Stegostoma tigrinum: one gene and its partner. The protein of the gene in region 1 purifies or fractionates together with the protein of each later gene. This does not show direct contact. Links are inferred from orthologs where the notes say so. Each region holds a gene or a part of one and is shown on either strand. Other genes may lie near its edges.

Region 1 (7,253 bases):
TGATCTTTGAGACCTTCTGGGTTATCACAGAGTCCGAGATTTACAGGCCGAAGAATACCTCTCAAATTTGTTGGAACTAAATCAAAAACCAGATGCAGATACCACTTCGTTGACTTTGGATTCATGGAACTACATACCATTTGCACATTCCAATTTGACAACAGACCAAGAACTGCAGCTCTGCAATTAATCTCTCTCTCATTCACTTGTGGGCTCTTGGATCAGTGACAGTGAAGTCAGCTGTAGCTAACATGTTGATCAATATGTCTAAACCATCTTAAAACACCACATATTTGAGTTTAGAACTAATTACAGGCTTTCATGCAATTTGTGTACTTCAAGCTTAGGCCATCAGGAACTGGATTAGCTTTTCAAAGTGATTTCTCTCAATGTTTACAACCACAAACTCTAGAGCCATTAATTCAATAGTAAATTCAAATCCATATCCTAGAAATGAAAGTACAGACATTAACCCACATGTGAATAGTATTTACATGTATTCAAAATGGGATCTTAATACTCCACATCCACTGCATTTAGACAGTCATAGATGACTCAACCATTTTCTTCAGAAAAATACAAATGATTCAGCCATTGCTCCAATATTTAACTGAACCATAATTGTGAAATCAACTCAACTTTCCAGTCTATTTCCTACAACCTTCATCCAATTAAGTCTGAAAAACATTCAAACAGTTCAACATTCCAGCATCGACTGCTTGGAGTAAGAGAATCCCATAGATAAAGACTCGCAGAAGAAATTACTCAACTATTCTAAACAGGAGAATTCTTTTTAAAGCTGCAGCCCCTTGTTTTATATTCCACCGTAAGAGGAAGAATCCTCTCCGAATACACTATCAAGACACCTGGAGATTATCTGCATCTGAATAATTGTCTTTGCAGCTTTGTCACATCCCAAAAGGGTCAAGGAAATAAACCTTCTTGACTAGCAGTAATCAAAAGCACAATGAAGTTGATAATTCGAATATGCCCCTCAAAACTAAACACAGTCTTCCCTCATTCCTAGATAGAGATGGAAGGCATGTGAAGACAGAGGGATAAACTACAGATGTGGAGCAGGGGAGGATATAGGCAGGAGGAAATGGACTCAGGAAAAGCTAGTGGGAGGAGACACTGTAAAGTGTGTGGCAGGCATGGGATGGATTTGGCAGAAGGGAAAGGGGTAAAGGGAGATGGAAGAACATTCCTGGTTTCTCAAATCAAGACTGGACTGATCATTTTCATTCTACTCTTCAATACTTAGTTGTGTCAGCTACCCTTTTCAAGTATAGTGAAGTAGAACGAATTTTGTTTTAAATTCCCAACTACATGTGCAAACACACATCTCCAAGTGACCTTGAGTTATCCCTTCCTGCATGCCTAATAATTTAGAGATAACAAGGTGAGTGCTGGATAAACACAGCAGGCCAAGCAGGAGGGTCTAGGCCTGAAATGTCAGCCTTCCTGCTCCTGTGCTGCTGCTTGGCCTGTGTTCATCCAGGTCCACACCTTGTTATCTCAGATTCTCCAGCCTCTGCAGTTCCTACTATCTCTCATCTAATAACTTAAGTACTTTAAATGTGCATCAAATACTGTTCCTGAAATGGATATGGGGCAGTGGAAGCAAAACTAGTTTTTGTTACATAGTAATTAAGGGAGTGTAGCTAAATCCAAAGTAACAGAATACAAGTAGCATAAGATGAAGGCATTATGCCACTGAAGAGGCTGAAAACTCCTAGTAGTTTTGAATGCTACCTCCGTTGCCAATGCAATTTAGTTAGGAGTAAAGAAGTGGAGTTTGCATTAAGTTCAACATAAACATTGTAAGCTTCAGAATAGTTCAACCACAGACAGGGACAGATTTTATCATAAAAACTAAGAGTAAAAGGAGGAAGTGAATGCAGTGGGCTCAGGAGTGACAGGACACATGATGCAAGGGCCTATGCAGGTTCCCTTCAACTGCTAGTCTACTCTAATTACTCCTACCCATTTATACACTTCTATGTACCCCTCCTGGCTAGTTTATCCCTTCACACACACCCTAATCTCTATTCCCCCTCTATCAGCACAAGGATAGCATGGTCACTCATTGGTTATCACTGCTGCTTCATAGAACCAGAGACCTGGGTTTGATTCCACTGTCTCTGAGGAATCTGTACATTTCTCCCTTCTATGCATGGGATTCCACCCATAGTCTAAAGAAGGGCAAATTAGGAGAATTAGACATGCTAAATTGCCCAGTGTCCAGGGACACGCAGGCTAAGTAGTGGGACGAGCCACGGAATGTGCAGGGTGTCTGGGTGGGATGTTCTTCACAGGATCACTACCGAGTCAATAGGGCAAATGGCCCACTTCTGCACTGCAGGGAACTCTATAATTTGCTCCCCGTCTCCACACACCTCATGTCTTGAACCCCCTCCCTTCACCAAACACATCTCAATCCTAATATTCATTTCCCGTCCCTCTAAAAACATTTAATTCGCTCCTTATCCCCTCCACCACCACAATCTCATTTACTTCCACAGCACTAAAACGAATGTATCTTTACCTTGCCCTTTAAAAAAGAACTTAGAATTCCTTTTGCCCCACTGGGCCGGCACCCTATCACCCCACTGGGCCGGCACCTTCCCTCCCACCCAATGCTACCCTCCCGCCCCCTCTCTGGCAATGTCACTAGGCCCGGAGCCAGGCTCGAGTAGCGGCGCGGGTCATTGCAAGGACACGGGGCTGCAGCGAGCGGTGGCAGAAACCGTGACCGGGGGATATAAACAGAGGGTGGGGAGAGGGGTACATGAACATTCCCCACCCTCCCGGGGGGGGTGTGGTGACAGACAAGAGATGGTGGTGGGAGGGGGGGGGGAGATGGGACAGGCACCCACCCTGCTCGTTTTGACCTTACCTGCTGGGTGCCCTCGGCCGGGGACCGCTAATGCCGTCCGCCTCCAGGCGGCCAGGCCTGTGCCGCTGTACCTGAGCGCGACTCGGAACATAACTGTGACCGAGTGAGTGAGCGAAGGTGTAGGAAGGAAAAGCCGCCGCAGCCGCTGCCGCTCGGAACCGGGAGACGAGGAGAAAAAACGCGTGCGCGCCGCGAGGGCCACGTACACCGCCCTGCGCCCCTGACGTCAACGCGCACACGCCCACCCGCCTAACACAAGAATACGCATGCGCATATAAAGCGAGCATGCGCTTTGCCCGCTGTGACCCTGGCGGGCGCCGCCATCTTTGCTCCTGGCGATAGCGCCTACGACAGATGCTGGAGTCAGGGATAACGTAGTGTGGAGAGATAATGGGAACTGCAGATGCTGGAGAATCCAAGATAATAAAATGTGAGGCTGGATGAACACAGCAGGCCAAGCAGCATCTCAGGAGCACAAAAGCTGACGTTTCGGGCCTAGACCCTTCATCAGAGAGGGGGATGGGGTGAGGGTTCTGGAATAAATAGGGAGAGAGGGGGAGGCGGACCGAAGATGGAGAGTAAAGAAGATAGGTGGAGAGAGTGTAGGTGGGGAGGTAGGGAGGGGATAGGTCAGTCCAGGGAAGACGGACAGGTCAAGGAGGTGGGATGAGGTTAGTAGGTAGATGGGGGTGCGGCTTGGGGTGGGAGGAAGGGATGGGTGAGAGGAAGAACCGGTTAGGGAGGCAGAGACAGGTTGGACTGGTTTTGGGATGCAGTGGGTGGGGGGGAAGAGCTGGGCTGGTTGTGTGGTGCAGTGGGGGGAGGGGACGAACTGGGCTGGTTGAGGGATGCGGTGGGGGAAGGGGAGATTTTGAAACTGGTGAAGTCCACATTGATAACATTAGGCTGCAGGGTTCCCAGGCGGAATATGAGTTGCTGTTCCTGCAACCTTCGGGTGGCATCATTGTGGCAGTGCAGGAGGCCCATGATGGACATGTCATCTAAAGAATGGGAGGGGGAGTGGAAATGGTCCCTCACCTTCCTGGACCTCTCAGTCTCCATCTCAGGCAACCAGCTTGTAACTGATGTCCATTTCAAGCCCACCGACTCCCACAGCTACCTAGAATATACCTCCTCCCACGCACCCTCCTGCAAAAATTCCATCCCCTATTCCCAATTCCTCCGCCTCCGCTGCATCTGCTCCCACGATAAGACATTCCACTCCCACACATCCAAGATGTCCAAGTTCTTCAAGGACCGCAACTTTCCCCCCACAGTGATCGAGAACGCCTTTGACCGCGTCTCCCGTATTTCCCGCAACACATCCCTCACACCTCGCCCCCGCCACAAACGCCCAAAGAGGATCCCCCTCATTCCCACACACCACCCCACCAACCTCCGGATATGACGCATCATCCTCCGACACTTCTGCCATTTACAATCCGACCCCACCACCCAAGACATTTTTCCATCCCCACCCCTGTCTGCTTTCCGGAGAGACCACTCTCTCTGTGACTCCCTTGTTCGCTCCACACTGCCCTCCAACCCCACCACACCCGGCACCTTCCCCTGCAACCGCAGGAAATGCTACACTTGCCCCCACACCTCCTCCCTCACCCCTATCCCAGGCCCCAAGATGACATTCCACATTAAGCAGAGGTTCACCTGCACATCTGCCAATTTGGTATACTGCATCCACTGTACCCGGTGTGACTTCCTCTACATTGGGGAAACCAAGCGGAGGCTTGGAGACCGCTTTGCAGAACACCTCCGCTCAGTTCGCAACAAACAACTGCACCTCCCAGTCGCAAACCATTTCCACTCCCCCTCCCATTCTCTAGATGACATGTCCATCATGGGCCTTCTGCAGTGCCACAATGATGCCACCCAAAGGTTGCAGGAACAGCAACTCATATTCCGCCTGGGAACCCTGCAGCCTAATGGTATCAATGTGGACTTCACCAGTTTCAAAATCTCCCCTTCCCCAACTGCATCCCTAAACCAGCCCAGTTCGTCCCCTCCCCCCACTGCACCACACAACCAGCACAGCTCTTCCCCCCCACCCACTGCATCCCAAAACCAGTCCAACCTGTCTCTGCCTCCCTAACCTGTTCTTCCTCTCACCCATCCCTCCCTCCCACCCCAAGCCGCATCCCCATCTACCTACTAACCTCATCCCACCTCCTTGACCTGTCCGTCTTCCCTGGACTGACCTATCCCCTCCCCACCCATACTCTCTCCACCTATCTTCTTCACTCTCCATCTTCGGTCCGCCTCCCCCTCTCTCCCTATTTATTCCAGAACCCTCACCCCATCCCCCTCTCTGATGAAGGGTCTAGGCCCGAAACGTCAGCTTTTGTGCTCCTGAGATGCTGCTTGGCCTGCTGTGTTCATCCAGCCTCACATTTTATTAACGTAGTGTGGAGCTGGATGAACACGGCAGGCCAGGCAGCATCAGAGGCAGGAAAGCTGATGTTTCGGGTCTTCAGTAACGTCAGCATTCCTGCTCCTCTCATGCTGCCTGGCCTGCTGTGTTCCTCCAGCTGGTGTCTGCTTTCCAGTACTGCATCCTATAGAAACATGCAACCATACAGTGCAGCCCTTGGGCTCATCACATCTAATTAAATCTACACTAGTCTCTTTCCAGCACTTGGCCACATAGTCTTGAATGTTATGACATTTCAAGAGCTCCTCTGTAAGATGTAGGAGCAGAATTAGGCCATTTGGCCCATCCAGTCAGTTGCTGTTCCATTATTAAGCATTCCCTGGTCACAGCACAACTTTTTTTTCTATCTCCACACATACAGTAAACAGCAAACTCACTGTTGATTAATTAAAGCAAAATTCTTATTTCAGTTGGCTCAACAGCTGGCTTGTGATGCCAAAAATACGGGGTCAATTCCCACTCTATGTGGGGTCACCATGATTAATCCACCTAAGTGGGGAGGGGTTCCTTAGCCTCTATTGTGATCGGAATCAGGTAGATTTCATTGACTGTTTGATCCTTAATTGGGTTTATTAACCTAGGCCAATCAGGGAGCCCTTGCTGACAGATTTAATCAGGGCATTCAGAGTTCCCTTACTTCAGGGACTCAAACTTGTCTGGTCATAGCCAGTGTATAGTGCACATGTAAATAAAGTCTGACATGGTGACAGGATACAAACTTCTGTGCAGTTATTTCAGTTCTATTGGCTGGTCTCTGATGTAGAGTGACAATGCCATCAATGGATTCAATTCCCACACTGGCTACGGCTCCTCTCCACTTTCATCTAAGGTCTGGTGACTCTCACATTAAGCCACTATCAGTTATTTCTCTCCTTCTAATGATACTGCAGGTCTGGTAACTTTACAATTACTGCAATGTAGCTATTTTCCCACCTTCTCCACAGGTGTATAGAAACATTTCTGAATAGGTTGATTAGGAAAATATGGAAACAGAAAATATGTGATACAGATGCGTACAGAACAGAAGCATGGTCCTTCAGCTTATCAAGTCTCAACTGCCTGAACTACACTAAATATTTACTCATTGCAGCACACATTATTTGAAGAAGTGACAGCGATTGATGAATGCCGAGGTGTGAATATTGTCAAGCGGACTTCAGCAAGATGTTCCATAAGGTTCTGCTTTGTAGACGGGTTAGACAGGTTAGATTACACAGAATATAGGGAGAGCTAGCCTTTGGAAACAAAATTGGCTTGAAGGTAAGAGACAGAGGGTGGTGGTGGAGCATTGCTTTTCAGACTAGAGGACTGCAACCTTGTGCCACAAGGATCAGTGCTAGGTCCATTGCTTTTTGTCATTTGTAGAAATGATTTGGATGTGAATATTGGAGGCATGGTTAGTAAGTTTACAGATGACACCCAAACTGGTGGTGTTGTGTACAGCCAAGAGTACAACAGGACCTTGATCAGATGGGCCAATAGGCTGAGGAGTGGCAGATGGAGTTTAATTTAGATAAATGTGGTACGTTGCATCTTGGAAAGGCAAATCAAGGCAGAACTATACACTTAATGGTAAGTGAGAGTGCTGCTGAACAAAGAGACCTTGGAGTGCAGGCTCATAGTTCCTTGAAAGTGAAGTCTCAGGCTGATAGGATAGTGAAGAAGACATTTGGTACACTTGCTTTTATTGGTCAGGGCATTGTGTGTAGGAGTTGGGAGTTCATATTGGGATGTACAGGACATTGGTTGGGGCACTTTTGGAATACTGCATTCAGTTATGGTCTCACTTCTACAGAAAAGATGTTGTGAAACTTGAAAGGGCTCAGAAAAGATTTTACAAGGATGTTGCTGGATTTGGAGGGTTTCAGCTAAAGGAAGAGGCTGAATAGGCTGGGGCCATTTTCCCTG
Region 2 (7,481 bases), on another chromosome or scaffold:
TGCCAGAAAGCTGGTCCCCCGATTATTAAGATGCAAACCATCCCTCCTGTACAATTTATTCTTACCCCAAAACATACCCCAGTGATCCAAGAATTTAAATCCTTGTTTCCGACACCAGTCCCTCAGCCACACGTTCAGGTCTATTATCTCCCTGTTCCTGCCCTCTCCAGCCTGAGGAACTGGAAGCAAACCAGAGATAACCACCCTAAGAAATAGGCTGCTATGGGACTTGAACTCAGACCCCAGCGGTCACAAACCCACGTGCTCACCATTACGCCACGGCAATGACAGCAACGCCATGGCAACGACAGAGAGGCAACCTTACTAAAAGATACAAGATTCTTAGGGGACTTGACAGGATAGATGCACTTTGTGGGAGAGTCTAGAAACAGAGAGCATAATCTTAGAATAAGGGCTCAACCATTTAAAACAGAAATGAAGAGGAGTTTATTCTGCCAGAGAGTAGTGAAACTTTGGAATTCTTTGCTGCAGAGTTCTATGAAGACTGGGTCATTAAGTAAATTCAAGGCTGAGGTGGACAGATATTTAATCAGGGAATCGAGGGTTATGAGAAAAAGGCAGGGAAGTGGTGTTAATTGTCAGTTCAGCCATGATCACACCAAATGGCAGTGTAGACTTGATTGGCTAAATGACCTATATCTGTTCCCATGTCTTACATTCTACTGAGTCATAAAGTTCCTTCCACCAACCAATCCCAATGTCACTTCCTAGGCCAGCATTTATTGCCCAAGCCACAACTGCTCAAAGGGCAATATTTACCCTTTGGTCAATTAATTAATTAGCCCCAATCATCAGCATAACTACTTTTTATTTTAAAACTGGAGAGGGAACCCTTGGTTCAACATTTAATCTGAAAGATACTCCAGTGGTACTGCATCGAAACAGCAGCCTAAAATTTGCACTCAAATGGGAGTTGAATTCAAAACCTATCTACTTATTCTGTTGGTGAGAGTGCTGGCAGCATGAGCTCCAGCTGACAGTCACAATGTAACTGATATGAAGCCAAGCCCCAGAGTCTGTGCACTATCACAGGTTATACATGAGTTAGGAGTTGAATTTTTCAATACTGCCTGCAATATTATCTGCAGAATTCACCAATATAAACAGTGAATCAATAGAATTTAACAGAAATAAAGCTAAAACTGTCACTTGTATAATTATGAATGGCAGGATACTGTGATGCTAATGTGGTATCTCAAAGCTGGGAAAAAATACTTAATTAATCAACAGTTGGTTTTCTTGTTTTTACTCTTTCCCAAAAACCTTGGTATGGAAACAACATATGTTCTCTGAGAGGGAGAAAATACTGCTTATATGGTTCATGATGTGAAGGATCCTGGTAATGGATGGCTTCTTTTGATCAATATGTTTGAGGTTTAAGCCAATTGAAAGAATGGTTGAGGGGGTTTATAGGTAATAAGTATTGAAGGTGATTAATTAAATATTGTATTTAAAGGTGGGTATTAAAAGGGAAATAGAGAAGAATAATATTTAATGGTTGCTTAACTTGTCCCCCAAAATGATTAAAGTTTCAATCCTTAAGTGCAGTTTTTTTTAAACTTTTGTACGTATAAAAATATTGCTTTACATATTCTTTAAAGAAACGTTCTTTACATTTACTTTATCTGCTATTGCTCAGGGAGCTGTTACTGGAACAAGCCTCGAGGACAGCTGATTTGGGAGGCAGACTAGTCACTAGATGAGATTAGATTCCCTACAGTGTGGAAACAGACCCTTCGGCTCAACAAGTCCACACCGCCCCTTGAAGCATCCCACCCAGACCCATCCCCCTATAATCCACACACCCCTGAACACTACGGGCAATTTAGCGTGGCCAATCCACCTAACCTGCATGTCTTTGGACTGTGGGAGGAAACCGGAGCACCCAGAGGAAACCCATGCAGACATGGGGAGAACGTGCAAACTCCACACAGACATTCGCCCCAGGCGGGAATCGAACCCAGGTTGCTGGTGCTGTGAGGCTGCAGCGCTAACCACTGAGCTACAGTGCCGCCGTCACATTGAATCTTCCTTCAGAACCGAGCGTTTAGCTTCACTATTGAAACAACGTGTGAGTTTTGTCAAGGTGCTGAACCAACCTGACATGTTATACAACAAACATTCCACACTAAAGGTAATTGTCCTGAAAAGTTAAATTGTTTCTCTCTCCTTGGTGCTGCTTAATTTACTTCCAACATTTTTGTTTTAAATTGAAATGGCTGATTTATTAATGAGTTAAACCCCAGAATACAGGGTATATTTTCATAATTTGTGGAATGTACTAAACTTAGAATTACTGTAAATTGTGAGGAGAATAATGTATAATTTCAAAAGGACATAGACAGGTTGGTGGTGTTAGTGGATAGGTGATAAAAGAGATTCAGTGATGTGAAGTATGAAATAATGAATGGTAGAAAGAACTCTAGAAACAATATGAAGGGTACAGCTCGAAAGGGAGTGCAGGGGTAGAGGGACCTAGGTGTATGTGTATAAATTTTAAAGGTGACAAGGCAGTTTCAGACAGAATTTAATAAAACATTCAGTATCATAGGCTGTATTAATAGCAGCATAAAGTACAAGAGAAATAATGAACTTATGAAAGACACCAGTTTGACCTCTGCTGCGACATTCAGTCCAGTACTGGATGCCACACTTCAAGAAGGCTACAAATACATTGAAAAGAATGCAGAAGAGTTTGAGAATGGTTCAATGTATGAGGAATTTCAGTTATGAATTCAAATCAGAGAAATTGGGACATATCTCCTTGAAGAGAAGGCTAAAATGAAATCAGATGGAAGCATTCAAAATCATCAGAGATATGGACAGAGTAAATAGGGAGAAAATGATTCCACTTCTGAAAAGACCAAGAAAAAGAGGGCACAAAGCAAAAGTGATACCTAAAAGTGATTCATGTAGTGAAGGTTTTGTGTCTGGAACGGTCTCCCTGAGTATGTGAAGGTAGGTTCTGTGAGGCATTCAAAAGGGAACTAGATGGTTATTTGAAAAGGAATAATATGCAGCGTTAAAGGATGAAGGCAGTGGAATAGCATGATGTGAGATGCTCACTTGAAGAGCTGGCACACAGTGGGCCAAATTGCTTTTTGCACTGTAACAATTTGGATGATCTGTAATGGTGTTTCATAAAGGGTAGTGAGGAATGGGCTTTTTACACGGATGGCTCAACTGCTTGTTCTTTATTTACTGCTTCTAACCTCAACTCTGCGTTGTATCAGCATTGAACAATGTCATTCCTGACCTATACTAGTTTGTTGTTTGGTCCTTTAGTGCCACCAAGTGGTTATAGGTCAGAGGAAGTTCAGTGGCTTCTAATATAACTTACCAAACAGCATGGTACCTTTAATATTTCAAAGTGTATCATACATGCATAATGCATAACCCTACAAAAAGACAGAAGCAGAAGATAAAAGGAGGAACACTGAAAGTTTGATAAAGGAATGCGTTTTAAGGAAAGTCTCAAAAGAGGAGAGATTGGAAGGAAAACAGTAGTGTTTGCATCACATCCAAGATATTAAAAATCATTCGTTAATCTTAATGATTGTCCCTCGTTAATTCTGCAGCACAAATATGTTGAAAATGCTTCTCTTCATTTGGCTCATTTCAACATTCATTTACTGATCAGCATATTTTGTCAGTAATAAATTCAAGGCTGAATTTGGGCATCATATCCAATTCCCCACCTAATCAATTCATGTCCACCCACCAACTCAAGGTGCCCTGATCTACATTGTCTCCCAGTCAGGCAATGTTCATTTAGATTTAACTCTCATCCTTGTTTTTGAATCTCCATTGTCATGCTCCTAACTCTGTAACCGCCTATCCTGCAAATGTCTGTGAGATTTCTGCACTCTCCAATTCTTTACCTTGAGGATCCATGACAGCTGATTCACACCACTGACAACTCCATTTCGTTGACTTGGTCCTAAGCCCTGGAATGCCTTCCCCAAACTTGACCTCTTTTCCTAAAAACAACTTCTTCGGTCAAGCATTTTGTTTTACAAATGTCGTCTAAGTATATGTAAAATAATTAGCGTTGGTTTTATTTAATTCAAGTTATTGAACTAAGGTAACAACTTTCCATATCTGGTCTTATTTCGGACCTCAATATGTTTTCTCCGTTATCTGATCATTTGAAACTACCAAGTAGATCAAAATCGCGTTGCTGTTTTGATTTGCCCTCTTCAGCTTTCCGTATTTGACCTTCCGCAAGCAATTCTCGTTGGTGATTTGACAACATGGCGGAAATGAATTCTCGAGGAGGTTCAGAGTTTGCTAAACGAGTCGACCCGAAAAGGGACAATTTGACCAAGGAGCAGATTGAGTTCATGCAGAAAGTCGAGCTGGCTCAATGGCATAAAAACATGCAAAAAAGGAGCGGAAGGAATGTAATTACAGGTTTAGCTATCGGGGCAATCGTGTTGGGCATCTGTATCCTTACGTATTGAATGGTTTATTGGAGGTAAAAGTATGTCTTGAGTTTGGGCGTTAATCGTAGGTACATTAACAGGCTGATTTGTGCGATTAGATCAAATCAAATTGTAAGGTGATAAAATGTGAGGCTGGATGAACACAGCAGGCCCAGCAGCATCTCAGGAGCACAAAAGCTGACGTTTCGGGCCTAGACCCTTAATCAGAGAGGGGGATGGGGTGAGGGTTCTGGAATAAATAGGGAGAGAGGGGGAGGCGGACCGAAGATGGAGAGAAAAGAAGATAGGTGGAGAGGAGAGTATAGGTGGGGAGGTAGGGAGGGGATAGGTCAGTCCAGGGAAGACGGACAGGTTAAGGAGGTGGGATGAGGTTAGTAGGTAGGAGATGGAGGTGAGGCTTGAGGTGGGAGGAAGGGATGGGTGAGAGGAAGAACAGGTTAGGGAGGCAGAGACAGGTTGGACTGGTTTTGGGATGCAGTGGGTGGAGGGGAAGAGCTGGGCTGGTTGTGTGGTGCAGAGGGGGGAGGGGACAAGCTGGGCTGGTTTTGGGATGCGGTGGGGGAAGGGGAGATTTTGAAGCTGGTGAAGTCCACATTGATACCATTGGGCTGCAGGGTTCCCAGGCGGAATATGAGTTGCTGTTCCTGCAACCTTCGGGTGGCATCATTGTGGCACTGCAGGAGGCCCATGATGGACATGTTATGTAAAGAATGGGAGGGGGAGTTGAAATGGTTTTGCCACTGGGAGGTGCAGTTGTTTATTGCGAACCGAGCGGAGGTGTTCTGCAAAGCGGTCCCCAAGCCTCCGCTTGGTTTCCCCAATGTAGAGGAAGCCACACCGGGTACAGTGGATGCAGTATACCACATTGGCAGATGTGCAGGTGAACCTCTGCTTAATATGGAAAGTCATCTTGGGGCCTGGGATGGGGGTGAGGGAGGAGGTGTGGGGGCAAGTGTAGCATTTCCTGCGGTTGCCGGGGAAGATGCCGGGTGTGGTGGGGTTGGAGGGCAGTGTGGAGTGAACAAGGGAGTCACGGAGAGAGTGGTCTCTCCGGAAAGCAGACAATGGTGGGGGTGGAAAAATGTCTTGGGTGGTGGGGTCGGATTGTAGATGGCGGAAGTGTTGGAGGATGATGTGTTGTATCCGGAGGTTGGTGGGGTGGTGTGTGAGAACAAGGGGCATCCCCTTTGGGCGGTTGTGGCGGGGGCGGGGTGTGAGGGATGTGTTGCGGGAAATGCGGGAGACGCGGTCAAGGGCGTTGTTGACAACTGTGGGGGGAAAGTTGTGGTCCTTGAAGAACTTGGACATCTGGGATGCGCGGGAGTGGAATGCCTCATCGTGAGAGCAGATGCGGCGGAGACCAAGGAATTGGGAATAGGGGATGGAATTTTTGCAGGAGGGTAGGTGGGAGGAGGTCTATTCTAGGTAGCTGTGGGAGTCGGTGGGCTTGAAATGGACAGCAGTTACAAGCTAGTTGCCTGAAATGGAGACTGAGAGGCTCAGGAAGGTGAGGGATGTGCTGGAGATGGCCCAGGTGAACTGAAGGTTGGGGTGGAAGGTGTTGGTGAAGTGGATGAACTGTTCGAGCTCCTCTGGGGAGCAAGAGGCGGCGCCGATACAGTCATCAATGTACCGGAGAAAGAGGTGGGTTTTGGGGCTTTACCTCCCCACCTCTACACTCCTCTCCACCTATTTTCTTTTCTCTCCATCTTCGGTCCGCCTCCCCCTCTCCCTATTTATTCCAGAACCCTCACCCCCATCCCCGTCTCTGATGAAGGGTCTAGGCCCGAAACGTCAGCTTTTGTGCTCCTGAGATGCTGCTGGGCCTGCTGTGTTCATCCAGCTTCACATTTTATTATCTTGGATTCTCCAGCATCTGCAGTTCCCATTATCACTGATACAAAATTGTAAGGTGTATCGCTTCTCCGGCAGTTTCGTGCCACCATACCTATCCGCGCATTAGCAGAATGTACATAAAATTTTCTTATTTCAATAGGAGCCCGATTAGGCTTTTCAGACCCTGGGGTTTGTACCATTTCCAGTGTGAATCATGATTGATCTGCTCAAACTCGATCCACTCATTTTGCTTAATTCCCTAAACTAATAAATAGCAATCTATCCATCTCAGATTTAAAAATACTATTTGAACTAGCATTTGTCACCTCCTTGGGAAAGTGTTCCACACTTCTGGCACCCTTAGATAACAGTCCTTCCTAACTTCACTGAAATTCAGAATATTCACATCACCCAGTGCGACACAGGATGTAATATAGCCCTGGTGATATAAGTAAGGATGTTGGTAAAATTGATAGCCTTTGGGAGAAAAGGAGCTGTGCATGATGGTGGGCTTCATGTGAACAGTGCTGGAATTCTTTGCGAGCAGAAAAAGAAATACTACTGTGAGAGAAATGTTTAAATTAATGTTGCAGGGAAGAGGAAATAAAAAAAGACAAGTAGGAAGAAAAGAAAATACATACTTTCAAAGAGGATGGAAAAGGGTGAGAGGGAGGAGGCTTAGCAAAAAACCCTCAAAGAACTACAAGTGCTGGAAAACTGAAACAAAAACGTAAATTGTTGGAGAAACTCAGCAGGTTCAGCAGTGAAAGACCACTGAACCCAAAACTATAACTCTGTTTTCTCTCTAGGGGTGCTGCTGAATCTGTGGAGTTCCTCCAGCAATTTCTAAGATTGTTTGACAGATGGGAATTTGAATTCTGCTATATCAGTGCACAACGTGACAGAATTGATGGTGTTCCCACAATGCACCCAGACAATGCAGAGTTTTTAGTTTAGTTTATTTTTAATACTTGGAAGGTGATCATGCTGGATCCTCCCCTGGATACTTAGATGGGACAGGAATGTAGTTGAGTAAGTGGACATTTCGGATATATCCAAAAATCAAAGGATAAAACTAGGCCAAGCAAAGGAATGTACATGTATTCAAACAAATGAGCTAGAGCAGTATTGCACAGAGGGTAATGCATATATGAAATGAACTGTGTGTGGAAGTGGTAG

Evidence for each region.
Region 2: the proteins of cytochrome c oxidase subunit 5A, mitochondrial-like (region 1) and cytochrome c oxidase assembly factor 3 homolog, mitochondrial purify together in Homo sapiens (affinity purification with western blotting; 3 studies listed by BioGRID and IntAct, with this or other methods). This does not show direct contact. The link is inferred for Stegostoma tigrinum from reciprocal best matches to the Homo sapiens genes COX5A and COA3.

The regions. Positions count from the first base shown.
Region 1 is NC_081389.1:16,551,021-16,558,273, forward strand, and holds the start of cytochrome c oxidase subunit 5A, mitochondrial-like, read right to left. Parts: upstream 3,117-7,253; 5' UTR 2,991-3,116; coding exon 2,900-2,990; intron 1-2,899. UniProt on the Homo sapiens protein: Component of the cytochrome c oxidase, the last enzyme in the mitochondrial electron transport chain which drives oxidative phosphorylation.
Region 2 is NC_081384.1:15,282,094-15,289,574, reverse strand, and holds the start of cytochrome c oxidase assembly factor 3 homolog, mitochondrial, read left to right. Parts: upstream 1-4,248; 5' UTR 4,249-4,274; coding exon 4,275-4,467; intron 4,468-7,481. UniProt on the Homo sapiens protein: Core component of the MITRAC (mitochondrial translation regulation assembly intermediate of cytochrome c oxidase complex) complex, that regulates cytochrome c oxidase assembly.